2 linked regions of the Caenorhabditis elegans genome follow. The protein of the gene in region 2 purifies or fractionates together with the protein of the main gene of each other region. This does not show direct contact. Each region holds a gene or a part of one and is shown on either strand. Other genes may lie near its edges.

Evidence for each region.
Region 1: the proteins of C03E10.3 (region 2) and prcc-1 fractionate together in Caenorhabditis elegans (co-fractionation; one large-scale study listed by BioGRID). This does not show direct contact.

What each region holds. Positions count from the first base shown.
Region 1 is NC_003282.8:13,088,591-13,096,419, forward strand, and holds prcc-1 (Proline-rich protein PRCC), read right to left. Parts: upstream 5,206-7,829; 5' UTR 5,167-5,205; coding exon 5,101-5,166; intron 5,043-5,100; coding exon 4,539-5,042; intron 3,807-4,538; coding exon 3,246-3,806; intron 2,794-3,245; coding exon 2,707-2,793; 3' UTR 2,597-2,706; downstream 1-2,596. Other genes in the region: spin-2 (Major facilitator superfamily (MFS) profile domain-containing protein), read left to right, coding at 462-726, 800-894; col-132 (Nematode cuticle collagen N-terminal domain-containing protein), read right to left, coding at 1,053-1,745, 2,340-2,477; C39E9.12 (SAP domain-containing protein), read left to right, coding at 5,421-5,555, 5,600-5,750, 5,797-6,534, 6,584-6,789; rfc-3 (Replication factor C subunit 3), read left to right, coding at 7,179-7,354, 7,399-7,829.
Region 2 is NC_003283.11:11,282,978-11,290,217, reverse strand, and holds C03E10.3 (G protein-coupled receptor), read right to left. Parts: upstream 3,805-7,240; 5' UTR 3,742-3,804; intron 3,643-3,741; 5' UTR 3,527-3,642; intron 3,400-3,526; 5' UTR 3,332-3,399; intron 3,258-3,331; 5' UTR 3,213-3,257; coding exon 2,918-3,212; intron 2,829-2,917; coding exon 2,647-2,828; intron 2,593-2,646; coding exon 2,512-2,592; intron 2,439-2,511; coding exon 1,992-2,438; 3' UTR 1,678-1,991; downstream 1-1,677. Other genes in the region: gly-20 (Alpha-1,6-mannosyl-glycoprotein 2-beta-N-acetylglucosaminyltransferase), read right to left, coding at 4,513-4,651, 4,774-4,920, 5,040-5,827, 6,283-6,413, 6,550-6,751.

The sequences.
Region 1 (7,829 bases), on a different chromosome or scaffold from region 2:
CAAAAATATTTTCATTTTTTAGTGATCGAAAAATCAATCTCCGATAAAAATATTTAGAGTTTCCGTAAAGATCAAGGATCCTTCAACTGCGTTTTCTGCAAAAATAAACGAACGTGAAAACTGTTTCTCTTTTTTCAAAAAGTACCTGAAAATCGGTTCAATTACTGTACTGAAACAGACAAAATAAGTTAAAAAACCGGAAAACCTGAAAACCAAAAAAAAACAAACCGCCGCACACTCGTGGCGCCAGGCTGTCCTATTACGGTTTGACCTACAAAAAATGCGGGATTTTTTTGTCCAAAAAAATGTGACGTCAGCACGTTCTTAACCATGCAAAATCAATTGAGAACTTTGCGTCTTTTCTCCCGCATTTTTTGTAGATCAACGTAGATCAAGCCGAAATGAGACACTCTGACACCACGTGCACACCAGAGAACGCATAATAGCAGAACAAATTTCAGACTGTCATCCACCCGAATCGGCGAAGTACTGCTTTCTCCTACTTCGTACTGGTATCCCATTTGTTTGGCGACGCTTCTGGTCCGTATCTCATCGGGTTAATCTCCGACGCAATCCGCCACGGATCCACATATCCTAAAGATCAATATCATTCATTGGTAAGTGCCACGTATTGCTGCGTGGCACTGCTTTTGCTCTCTGCCGGACTGTACTTTGTGTCCTCACTCACGCTGGTCTCGGATCGGAAGAAGTTCCGAGCGGAAATGGGTAAGTGCTCGTTGTTCTTGTATGGTGTCGGGGAAACGTATATTTTAGTCAGCTATTATTGGAATTATTTCAGGTCTCGATGATCTTCAATCCAAGCCGATTCGAACATCAACTGACAGTTTGGAACGGATTGGAATTAACGACGACGTTGCGTCGTCCCGACTTTAATTCCTCCTTGATTTCATTGCTTTAATGTCCATAATTTGGGTTTATGTATTTTTAGAACAACGGGTTTTTTGTCGTTTTTGTGAAGATTTTTGTAAACTGCTAATTTTTATTGTATAAATAAAAACTCTTTTAAATAAAAAAAAATGTTTCGGAATAAATTAGAAGACAAGACGTGCCGAACGAAGTGGACAGCTACAGTAGGCTGCATCAGGTCCTGGGATTCCAGGTGGTCCTTCAGGTCCTGGCTCCCCTTCGTCTCCCCGCTCTCCATCCAATCCTGCTGCTCCAGGTGGTCCCTCTTCCCCTTCTGGCCCAGGAATTCCTGGCTCTCCATCCTTGCCTGGGAGTCCTTCAGCTCCTGCAACACCCGGTGCCCCTGGTGCTCCTGGCATTCCTATCTCTCTGATTCCACTGGCGCCTGGTCTTCCATCGACACCTGGCTCCCCGTCTTCTCCTTGATCTCCAGCATCTCCAGGTTCTCCCTCGACACCTGGTGGTCCATCATGTCCAACTTCAAAGTTGTCAACTCCCGGTGGTCCTGGTGGTCCCTGCTCTCCTGGCTCTCCGTCTGGACCTGGAGGTCCTGGCTCTCCGACTGGGCAGCGAATGCATGGGGGTCTTTGATAGATGAGGGATTGATCAAAGAGTGGAAAGTCTGGTCCGGGTTGTCCTGCGTCTCCATTCCATCCGTCATCTCCAGGGGCTCCTGGCTCTCCTGGTGGTCCTGCAGGTCCGGGTGGGCAGTTATTGACCTTATTCATGCATCCACACTTTGATTCTCCACTTCTCTTTTGTCTTACGACGGAGCGATTGATTTCGATCATATCATCCCAGGCTTCAGTTGCGAACTTCTGAAAAATTAGGCCAGATTGATGAAAAAAATTGCCGCGTCGTGAGCCGTGAGTCGTGAGCAATTATTTCAAAAAAAAAAAACTTTGATAATATTTTTCGAATCAATGTTATCTTTAACTATACTATTGCAGTTTCAGAGACTTTAATGTTTTTCCACAAGGAACACTTGGTATTCCGCATAGTTTCTTATTATCCCACACGAGAAATTTTGTGCATTTTGAGCTGAAACTACGGTCACCGGTCTCGACACGAAAAACTTTTGTTAAATAAAAAAGGTGTGCGCCTTTAAAGAGTACTGTGTTTTCGTTGCTACGTAATTTGTATCTGGTTTTTCACAGTTTTTCTCATGAATTTACGTGTTTTTATTGTTATATTTGCCAAAAAACTGTGAAAAAATCGATAATTTTTGCTCTTGCAGAACTTTCATCGATTGTTTTAAAAATAGTTATTTGTTAAAAATTATATACAAACACGCGGAAAATCGATTAAAATTCTGCAACAGCACAAGTTTGAAACTACAGTAACCTTTAAAGGCGCACGATTTTTCTTGGATTTAACGAAAAATTGTCGTGTTTTTTACAGAAAAAACTCACATTGAACTCTGCCACGTCATCAAGTGCCGTGGAATAAAAAGTCCGAAAATCTGCGAAAATGAGCAGCCCCGCTGTAATATACCCGACGACGAGTATCGACGAAACCGAGACGGCTGCGCAAATGAAGTTGTTCGACATTTCAGACAATCTCTGCCTGTCCTCCTTGCCTTCCAATCGGCCTTATGTACTCTGCCGGCTAATGCCCGTTTAACGAGCGATCGCGCAATTTTCTCATCATTATAACGTGCTTATACTTTCAAAACGAATGAATTCATTTCGTGTTTATATGGGTGTTTATCATCAAAACAACACACAAATACAAGGGAGAGAGAAAACTGAATGATTAATGAGACATTTCGAAATGATATTAGAATCCGTACTTTTGTCGCGCCATTCGCTTCGATTGCTTCTGATCGGCCCATTGATCTTTGAGCTGCTCCTCGCGGGATACTGCCTGAAATTAAGTGAATTATGTGATTTCTAGCACAAGCTCTTAAAAAGTGTTGATCTACGCAGATTTCATACTCCACGAGGACAACTTTGCACTTTTGTTTGGCTAAAATCGGGTTTTTCGATTTTTTTAAAATAAATTGTTAATTTTGAAAAAAAAACTGTATTTTTGTAATTGAAATCAATTGATTTTGCATTTTCGGTGAATTTATATTTTTCTCGTATTTTTCCGTAAAATTATTGTTTCCGATTTGTCGGTTTTCGAAAAAATTGAAAATTTTCGTTTTTTTTTAAATCTTCAATTTTTTGAAGACCGAATATTCCATCAAGAAATTCAGCCAAAAAATGAGAAATAAGTTTTAAAAAATTGACTTTTCCATTCTTTCGCGATTTTTTTTTTGGGTTTTTGATGCAAGTAAAAGCCTGAAAATCTATAAAATCTGGAATATCTCTTACCAAGCTGGCCAAATACGTAATTTGATGCTTTCTTCTCGACATTTGTCCTTGAGTTTGAACTTGTGGCAATGGAGCAGAAGTTGCTTCAACAAATGCGCGATGTCCAAGATTCTTGATAATATTTGTCTTAACATCCGGTCCGAGAGCATCATCCACATTCACATCGACAATTGAATTGGCCATTTCGTTGATCGAACGACGTTCTTCTTGTCCAATATCATGAGAGAATCGCATCAAAAGCTTATGAGCTTGCTCGTCATTGATCTTCCGATGAAGCCAGGCATTTGAAGCAGATGGACCTTCTTGAACATCTTCTTCTTCTTCTGGCATTTCATACATTTGTCGAGGATCCATTCCTTCATCTGGACGGGATGGCCCAACTACATCCATGCTGCTGTTCATTGTCATATATGGAATTTCTGATGGAATTTCTGATTCTTTTCTAGTTGGAGCAGATGAGAAACCGAAGAAATCGGTTGGACCGTCATCATCGTCATCACTGTCGTCTGGCAGTTTTGGAGCTGGAGCCGGCTTGAAAACTGGAGCAGCAGCAGGTGTAGCCTGGAAGAGAAAGAGTTTTAAAATTAAAGTTTTAAATTAAATAAAAATTCAGTGAAGAAATCTGGAAATTTTATCCTGATTTTTAATATTTATGGGGACAAAAATCGAACAAAAATTCCCCGGTTTTATATTTTAGCTTGAAACAGCGAATTTTCGCGCCAGAGACGCCGTGTGTCGATTTACGAGATTTGTGTATATTTACAAGATTTTCAATCTTTATCGGATGCTGATTTCTGTTTTTCAACGAGTTTTCTTTATTTCCGTCGGTTTTTGACAAAATGTTTTGAGAAAATGTGTTTATTAAGGCCAATTAAACATTATATTATCAAAAAACCAAGTAAATTTCCAATGCTTAGGTCACAACTCAGCGGAAAATCCAAATATATGCTTTTCCTGACTGAAAATCGAATATTTAGTTAGTTTTTTGATATTATAATGTTTAATTAACCTCAAAAAAAAACACATTTTCAAAAAACGTTTCGGCAAAAACTGACGAAAATTGAGAAAACCGGAAATCAGCATCCGATTAAGATTGAAAATCTCGTAAATATACACACATTTCGTAAATCGACACATGACGTCTCTGGTGTGAAAATTCGGAAATCTCATGGGGACGCAAATGAAAATCGGCGATTTCAAGCTGAAATAAGAAATTAGGGAAATTTTTTTACTTAGTTATTCGAAATCAGAAGTATATTTTCTCAGAATCCGCACTCGACTTTCAATTTTTACCTTTTTAGAAACTGAATGTGGAACCATGGACTTATCGAATACATTTGCACCATCTGAACGATTATCTCTTCCTTTTGGAGCTGGAAGGTTTGACAAAAAACTGTTTCCAAGCTTCGGCTTAACTGTAGCAACAGCAGCACCTTCATTATCACTGTCATCGCTGGAATTTTCGCCAGTAATTCCTGCGAGAGCTCCGAACGCCGAAATTATAACTTTTCCTTTTGCTTTTTGAATTCCACCACCAATTTTCGGAATTTTTTCAACTTTCATCGCTTTTTTCGCCAATTTTTTCTCCTTTTTTCTCTCTTCTTTTTGTGCTTTTTTCAGAGCTTTTTTCTCCAGCTTTCTCCTTGCTTTCTCGGCCAATTTAACCTCCCATTCTTTCGGTTTTACTAATTCTTCGAGAACATCTTCTTTGTTCATGTTTGGTGAGCTTGATTTTTCTGTATTGTCAAAAAATGCTTCATCATCGACGAGTTGTTGATTTTGTGGAGCGAGTGAATTCTGAAATTTTGGAAAATTCGAAAATGTTTTCAAACTGAATAAAGAATAATTTGCTTACTTTTTGTTGTGTTTCCATTTCTTCATCACTTTCTGATTCACTTCCTGCGTAATCCACAAGGCCCATTTTGAGAAGAATTCTTCGAAGAAACGAATAATTTCAGACGAAATAAACAATACGAATATTGATTTCTTTATTCGAGAGGACTACACACAATAAGAAAGCAACAGCGCTCCAACGTACACCGCGCGAAAAACACAATTTTTCAAACAGCGATGGAGGGAAATTTCTTGAGTCCTATTTTGTTTCTTGTTCATTTGTTCCTTGTTTCATTTGCTTTTCTGTTCTCACTATTCAATAAAAATAATAATTTCAGTAAAATGTCAGCCAAAAATAAAGAGCTCGCCGAAGAGGACGTGCTCAACATGACATGCGACAAGCTTCGCAAGGAGTTAAAGAAGAAAAGGGCTTCGACTGCGGGAAAGAAATCGGAACTTCAATCGCGTCTTTTGGAGGTTTGAACTCAGTCGAAACAATGTGATTAATTTAACTTTTTCAGTTTCTCGCTGGCCAAAATAATGCCGGAAACGGGGAGGCAATCAGGGAAGAGCCGGAAGCCGAGGCTATGGACACCGACGAAGCACCTGCCAATCGCACATTCACAGTTGAAGAGGAAGAAGAAACTGAGAATACTACTGGCAGATTTGTTCGTAAGTTATATTCCATTTAGTTGAAATTTAAACAGCTTTATTACAGACGAGAATACTCCGACAAATGCGGTTGCTGTCGTTTTGGATGATGACTTGAGAAACCGTCTCTGTGGCAGTTTGGGAATCGATCTGCAAAGCTTCGAGGTGAAGTCACGCCCGAGAGTTCATCGTCTTTCGACAAGACTGTCTCTCCGCGCTAGTTCGTCGACTCCTCAAACATCTGAGCGACCAGGAATGCCGATCGAGAACAGAGGAATTACGCCAGTTCGTCAGCGTGCTCCATCCAGTGGAAGAGACAGATTCGCAATGATTCATGCAAGAGAGATGGAAAAAGAAGAAACACTCGGAGAGCGTCAAGAACGATTGAAGAAACGACACGAATTCATGACCGGCGACGTCCCAGAAGCTATCAGGAGACTTGCTACCCCGAAAAGTGTGCCAAGACGTGACCCAGTTGATAGATCAACTACAAGATCTGCTGCGCGCAATTGGCAAGTTCAGGATCCTGAGAAAATGTCCTTCCAATTCGGGGATAAATCTGCTGATGATTTTCCCGCTCTTGTCAGCTCACGAGCTGGCTGCTCATCGTCATCTGCTGCCACCACCTCTACCAAAAAGACAAAGTCCGTTGCAAGATCTCATGTGGACGTGAAGAAGCTCACCAAGTCACAAATCCCGAAACCATGCCGTTTAACTTCTCGAAAAATCATTCCTGCAACTGTCCCAGAAGATGATACATTCACCGAGTACATTTCCACGCCAAAAGGAACCACTCCAACTAGAGGTAACTATTCATATTTATCTTTTTTTCGCTAATTCATAGCAATTTTTAGTTCCACGACGTGCTGGTTACACACCACACTCTACGAGAAAAGTGTTCGTCGACACGACTCAATTGACGGATCGCGAGTTCACTTTGGCACTGGAGGAAGGATTAATCCCCGGAAGAGCTGCCACGAACCTCGAGAAACAACAAGTGGAGAACAAGAAGCGCCGTGACGACATTATCGCACTCAAGCGTAAAATGAATATCAAGTAGATATCTCAATTATTTTCTTATTTATCTTCACTCACTCGTCTCACTAGGCTAAACCTGTAAAATATTTCGTTGTTGACTTGTCGAGTTTCTGAAAATGAATTCTTTTAATTTATTACAATTCTCTTTATTTATTTTCTATTTATTTATTCCTCTATTCAATTGTTTGCGACAATTGTGATATCTTTGAATATGTCTTTTAATTTTTTTAGCAAGAAATATACGGTGGATCCGGATTCCCGAAGCGCAATTCGCGGCACGGTTTAATTTTTTAATTTACCATAAAAGCGCGTGCCGCGGAATTACTTTTCGGGTTCCACCTTCTATTTCTCGCGCTTATTTTGGACTTTAATTACTCTGACAATATAATATTAATCTTTTCTAGTGCAAAAATGGCGTTGTGGGTGGACAAATATCGACCAAAGGACTTGTTGGGAAAGGATGGCGTTGATTATCACATCGAGCAGGCCAATCATTTGAAGTTTCTCTCCGCAGACTGTATGCCGCATCTCTTGTTCTGTGGTCCCAGTGGAGCTGGAAAAAAGACACGGATCAAGTGTCTGTTGAGGTTTAATTATTGGTAAATTCAGTAAATAAAATAATATTTTTCAGAGAGCTTTACGGTGTTGGAGTCGAGAAAACGCAGCTCATCATGAAGTCGTTCACTAGTCCGTCGAATAAAAAACTTGAAATACAGACTGTCTCGAGCAATTATCACATCGAAATGACGCCGTCTGATGTTGGAATCTATGATCGAGTTGTTGTGCAGGATCTCGTTAAAGAAATGGCACAAACGTCTCAAATCGAATCAACTTCTCAAAGATCGTTCAAAGTTGTCGTTCTTTGTGAAGCGGACTCACTGACTCGTGATGCTCAACACGGACTTCGTCGAACTATGGAGAAGTACGCGAATAACTGTAAAATCGTTTTGAGCTGTGAATCCCTGTCCCGTATCATTGAGCCACTTCAATCTCGTTGCATCATCATCAATGTGCCAGCTCCAACCGATGAAGATGTGACCAAAGTCTTGCGGAAAGTGATTG
Region 2 (7,240 bases):
AACTTCACCACAGTGTTCACAAAATCTAAAAACACAATATTCATCAAAAATGTTCAACAGATTTTGAAAAAACTTCAGAAAAATTCAAAAAAATCGAAAAACTAGAAATATTGAAAAAACCGAGGTTGCAAGGAAATGACAATTAAAGTACCGGAATATGAGCAATTGGATTTAAAAACAACATAATTATGCTTAATACTTTGTCGCGTATCCGTTTGCATCAATAACAGCTTGACAACGACGTGGCATCGAGTCGATCAGCTTGTGAATAACTGACATGGGGATAGCTTTCCAAGCGTTTTCCAACTGGTTGAATATGGCATCTGCATTTGAAGCCCGAATACCTCCAAGACGTCTTTCCAACTCTTCCCACAAATGCTCTATTGGATTCAAGTCCGGAGACTGACTTGGCCAATCGAGCAAATGCACACGACGACGTTGAAACCAGGAACGCACATGAAGAGAAGTATGCTTAGGATCGTTATCCTGCTGAAACACGAAGCCACGGCCCACATTTTGAAGTGCCCAGGGTCGCATTGTAGTTTCCAAGATTTTTTCGTATTGAAAACGATCCATAATGCTTTGGATTCTCCTTAGTGGGCCCATGGAAGTGCTGGTGAAGCACCCCCACACCATGACGCTCCCACCTCCATGCTTAACGGTTGGGCATTGATACTTTGGAGAGTACCTAGAGCCAACAGGACGACGTACCCAGGAATTTCCATCACTCCCGAACAAATTGAACTTGCTTTCGTCAGACCAGATGTGTTTAGCCCATTCCTGACGTCCCCAACGAAGATGCGCTTTTGCCCACGCAACTCGAGCCATGCGATTTTTCTTACTGATGAACGGTTTCTTGACTGGCTTTCGTCCGTGTAGTCCTGCTTGCTGTAAACGTCGACGAACAGTTCGTTTACTTGGTACAGGTTCATTTGGAGAACTTATAATCATTTGAATATCCGTGGCGGTCCTATGCGGATCTTCTCTTGCTGATCGGAGGATGTTGCGATCCATCCTATGGGTTGTCACTCGAGGCCTGCCGGGCGAGATTCTCAAAGCGACGGATTTCTAAACATTTATTATTAAAAAATAATATTTTTCGAACTCACCTCAGTTTGGTACTTCTTGATTACTTTCCAAATAGTCGACGGAGAACGTTGAATTTGCAGCGCGAGCATTTTCGTGGGTATTCCTTGTTCGAAGCCAGCTACAATGGCTTTCTTGACGTCCAAGGAAAGATTTTTACACCCAACAGATTTTACCATACCTTAAAAATAATTTATCAACCAAACAAATCCAGTGCAACAAACAGAGTGCGTTTTATTGATAATTCAAAAAAAATAATGAAAATTGGAAAAACGAAAAAATCAAAAAATTGAAATAAAATTCAGAAAAAATCGATAATCATGTAATGTTTGGTCCGCAAATTTGCGTTTCGTTTGCGAAACAATTTAATTCTTTGCGAAACTTTATTTGCTTAATTTGCGAAACATTTCGCTTTATGCACACGGAAAAATTCAAGTCAAATGGATGCTTGAGAAAAAAGTTACACACAAAAAACCAAAAGTGGATATCTTTTTGGCCAGCACTGTATACTGCACAAGTACACAAATTTGCTGCCTGTAAATGTATAGATTCTCCCGTTAAATGGCAACAATAGTTTTTACTTATTCAAGTATTTGTAATTCGGTTTTATTTTTCGCTTGACGCAATCACAATAAAACGGTATTTTATCACATAAATAAAAATGAGATAGAGGAAGTGTTCAATTTAAATGAGGTGACAAAAAAGAGATAGAGGTAAATATATGTTATTTGATTGGAGCTTAAATATAATATGTTTAAAAAACAATTGTTTGAGAAAGATGGTTCTCTAAATTGAATATTAAAAAACATTTTAATGACTTTCAGAAGAAAACAGGAAACCGGATTACGTGCACTCAGCATTTTCTACAAAAATTGACAGAAGTGACAGGGCAATCGGCTAATTAATTATTCCAAAATTTCGCGTGAGCCGTCTTCCAATAATATTTGATTGCTCGTACTAGGTACATTTCGTTTGTTATCCTTCATGAACTTTTTGTGGTGTTTCTCCCAACTTTTCTTCATTGAATCAATTGTTTCCGTTTGAGACATTTCAGCAAGAAGTTTGGATCCATCAAATCTTGGCCTTGGTTCAAGAGTTGGAGGGTCTTTCAGGTCTTTTGTCGCCAGGTAGAAAATATGACGAACAATGCGATCATGAAAATGAAGAAACACGGAAGGGAACACAATCGCTTCGATGCTTTTTAGAATTTCAAAGATTACAGTGGCAAAAGAACGGAATGGTTCTGTAAGATCCGATGGAATGTAGATGAAGATGATCCAGCAGAGAAGAATCAGAAAACGTGTTGTAGTGATATAGAACATCACTCTGCAGTTTTCAATTGCCTCCGAAATCTGAAGATAAAGTTTAAAAATATTTGTTTTGCTCAAAGTGTGATTAATTGATTTAATTAAAAAATTGTCTCACCTGGAATCTCACTTTCAATGTTTGTTTTCCCAGTTCTCTTTCCATAGCTACCTTCTTCCCGCCACGTACAAAAATGTTCATCTATAATTAATTTCATGTTTACTTCTGGATTTAATATCAAATAGATTCACTCACGACGATGTTTATCAAGCACATTCCAATAGAAATCTCATCCGAATATTGGAATAGATTGCCATGATGAGTGAATTCAGGAATAATGAAGCAGATGTACGCAACTACCATTGTGAAAAAGACTAGCATGAAACTTTTTGTGGCCTCTTTTTCGAACATTTTTTTGTAGAGTCCGATGTGTGCATCTGGAAAGGAAAATTGTAGAAAATAGGGACAATATTCAAGGCATAAGACTGATAGAAAATTGTCGGAAATAAGCTAGTTTCAAACTTACCGAGAAAGTAGAAAAATGTGGTGAAATTGATGATAAATCCCATGGTTACATTGACATTCTCAAATTTTCTCTGAATCTCTTCAGTATCAGGAATCAGTTTACAAATTGCCATGAAGAATGTTCCAAATGTAATGAGTACGTATGCACAACTGATTGTACCCAATTGGCCCCTTGTGAATGTGAAGAAGTATGTCCGAACTACAGCAACTTTGATAAATTGCCAATGAGAGTAAATGGAAGCAATCAATGTTACAAGTTGAATGACAACTTGAACAATTGGGAGTTTATCTCCCATCCTTGAAATCTTAAATAATTTCAAGAAAACTTGAATGAATTATTCCTACAAAAGATTAATTTTAATAAAACAAACAGAATCCCGAATCTCAAAAAAAAATAGATTAACTCGTTTTTTACCTTTTTCTCGTTTTTAAAGCAGAATCAATATATCAGAAACATCGTTTTCAATCCAAGGATTTTATGATCTGAAAAAATCAGAATCCGGCAACAAATGTATCATTATAAAAGTGTTTTCTGACTCAACTAATACAATTTTTAAAACTATTTTTAAATCAAAAAGAGGTGAAAAACAAGAAAATGTTACTCACTAACCGATCGAAAATGCACAAAAATTGAGCAGAAGAGTCAGTGATTAAGGGTTTTATAGTTAGATGATTGGCATTCTCTTGGGATATTGTGATCATGACAACCAGAAGCTTCTAGTAGAGCTGTAAGAAAAACTGCTCTGAAATGGGCGGAGTTTTGAATGTGTATAGAAGGAAGTAAAAATAAAACATCAGTGAAAATATGTGATATTTTAATATTACCGGTACAGAGAGTGTAGATAGTTAGAGAGTGACAGACATCCGGGACCCAATGGGGCGGGGCGCGCGGAAGAGACGATTTGTGTCGATTTACGAAATGATGACAACGAGGAAAACTTCGTAAATCGACACAAATCGTCTCTTCCGCGCGCCCCGCCCCATTGAGTCCCGGATGTCTGTCACTCTCTAACTATCTACACTCTCTGTACCGGTAATACTTCAGTTGGTCCCAACTCGACCATCTGAAGAGGGAACGGATACATTTTGAAACACTGTGCACCTTGTCACTTGTTTTTGCTTCCACAGATGAAGCCTTGCGCCTATAAGTAGAAACTTCAGAAATCTGCGAAATTACGAATTTAATTGTTATTGAAAGAATCTTGGAAATCTGTTCTAGCTTTAATATAGTTTATACGAATTTGCTCTTTAATGCCATCTTTAAAAATCTGAATCATTCATATAATTTTTGTAGACCCGGAAAAATGCGGAATACCATTAACATTATGATTTTGAGAAATGAAAGGAGCACTAGCATGCAATTGAGGTGGGGAATTTGGAAACAGGGTGGAAATTTCAACGAAACAGGAAAAGCGGTAAGAAACCCGTATTTGTAAGCGAGCAACGTCATCTTATGGTTAATTATGCAAGAGGGAAGCAAGTAGAAAACAACAAGAACCGGAAAACGAAACTAGAAATGGGCACCATTCTTACAGAAAAAAATATATATTGAAGAGGCAAGTCAACAAAATCCGTAAAAGAGGAAAGTTTTGAAGATTAAGAAGTTGTAGATGTGATTGTTTTGTTGGATGACGAGAACTGGATTTTTGAGTTGAGCAATTTATGGAGTACAGATGCAGATTGAGAAGAAACTCTAACCAATGGAGATTTGTTGATTTCGCATAGTTGACGGTCTCTGCAAACGAAGTTAAATTTTTTAAAAAATTGATAAAAATTGCATATCAAGATAAATGCTGAATTTTCGATAATTATAATTTCGGCTATAATTTACTAAATATATGTGTTGTTAAGCCCTACCTAATGTCACCCCATCCACCATTTTCTTTCGACGGCTTCAAAGATCTTCTCGAAGTGTCTGTCACAGATAAACTTGTCGGGAACAGAAGATCCTTATGCTGACGGAATAGTTCTTGTGTCGATTGGAGAGCTTTATGTGCTTCACATCTGAAATTTTGAAAAATTACATTAAATTTTGAGATTTTTCAATTAATGACTGATCCTCGGGATGCTGAAGCTTATTTCAAAATATGTTGAAACAGTTGATTATTTCGATAAAGTCTAACCTGTGCGTATGGACTCCACAGTCTCCTATATGTATAACTCGTGGACTTTTTGTGAATATGACCCGAAACCTTTGAGGTAGACATTTTGCTGAAATCTGCATCAACGACCAATCCCAGTTATAGTCATCCCATTTGCAAAACATCTCGGAGCATCCTTTGATCTTCTGCCACGTGTTCTTCTGAAGAGCCATTCCCATATTATGCTTGCTACTGTACCATGGGTGAACTCCGAGATGAGCTATGTCTTGACCGTATTTGTTAGTGGATTTCAAATAAAATCCCAGAGATATTATTTCGCAGTTTTCACAATATTTTGGACGATTTGATACAATAATATCAAGAACATGTAATGCATCTGGAGCCAGCATGTGATCTTCTTCCAGTAGTAGAACCCATGGATCTTTCATCGAATACTTCTCAACAATTCCATCAAACACAAAGTTCATCTTCCACCACCAATGATGTTTTATCTGTGTCAATTGAGCTACTCGATAGTTTCCATATTTATCCGGGCTACTCCAATTTGAACAATTCGTCTCTTGTGCTTTATCTCTCTTCATTTTCTCCGGACAATCGGAAGGAGACTGTCCTGGAAAAACTGTCGGAAACAGTTGCAAATTGTATGGATAGAAGATTTGGTAGACACGAGCGAATGTGATGTTACGGATCATTTCATTGATTATTCCGACATTGATGTCATGCGAGAAAACTAGTAATGTGTCTTCTATTCCTTTTGTATTTCGCATTGACTCAATGAGGTATTGCAAATAGACCGGCCGATCGTGTACCTGAAGAAATTTTTTTTTGAATAAAAAATAAATAATGTTTGGTAATGATCGAGGGCTGTAGATTTTTCGTTGCTTTTATTTTTGGAAAGAAATTTATTTTCGATTTGTTCAAAAAATTGAAAAACGCGAAAAAATTCATAAATATTAAATTTTAAGTTTTTTTTTCCAAAAATAAAAATCACACACGAAATTGTGTGCAACTTCGGGAAATATGTTTTCTTCAAAAATGTTCCAAAAATTTCAAAAAAGTGTTTTTGGAGAAAAATCTTGTTTTTTATCTTGAAAATAAATTTTTTTCAGATTCGGCCCTGATGGTAACCATAGAAAATACACATATTATAGTTTACCAATATTTTAAAGTTTTTTTTGTATTGTAAAGAACAATTTTTGCAACAAAAAAGTGTAACTTAACTAACTTTTTTCAAATTTCTATAAAAGTCCATCTTAAAAATTACCTGAATCACTAGAATTGTCTTCACAGTGGACAAATCTCCAAATTTCGCAGCGTTCAAAATGTCAAAATTTTCATTAAGAAAACTAACAGATTCGACGATTTCCGATCCTTTCAGTGACATGTCTTCTTTAGCTGAAATTATTAATTTTTAGAAATACAAATTGACGATTTATAATAATATATTTATAACGGATGATAATTTTTTTGTTAAAAAAATAATGTTTTAGTACTATTTTTAAATACGAATTTTTCAACAAGAAAAACTAACTTTTAAAATTCCATCCACTCAAATCGGGCTTTTCGTTAATCGACAGACGATTCGATTCATTTTTCAATAAATCTACGACTTCTTTATTCAAACCATTCCAGTCATTAACTGACCACACAGGATTTTGTGATAATACAGGAACACCGTCTCGTAGCCGTTGATCTTCTCCAGGTGCTTTCAGAAAAATGACGATGAACCCGAACTGAAATAAATAAAGTTTCTAATTTTTTAATTCAAAATATTTCACAATTTTTACTTTTTTATCATTACTTTTTTTAACAACTAAAATTCTGAAAAACCTCAACATAGAATCGGAAAAAAAAATATATTTTTAAAAATTGTTTGTTAAAATTTTTAAAAAACCAGACTTTAAATTTGGATTTTTCATTCTTTCTCGGTTTTTTGAGAGAATTTATGTTTTTAAGACGTTTTTTTTTGGTTTTTTAAAAGCAAGATCCAAATCCTCATTCACGCTACTCCACTTTTAGGCTGTTACCTTTGAAAATTTAAGACATTTTAAATTTTATTGCATTTATTTTTCTTAATTAAAAATTGAATTTTAGTCATTTTTGACCTCACAATTTATAAAAGTTGGTTATCAAAGTTTCAAAGTAGGAACAATTTTGTTCAAACAAACATTATTTCCATTGTTTATTCGGTACTTGTGTATTATAGCCCCCGCCATTTTAGA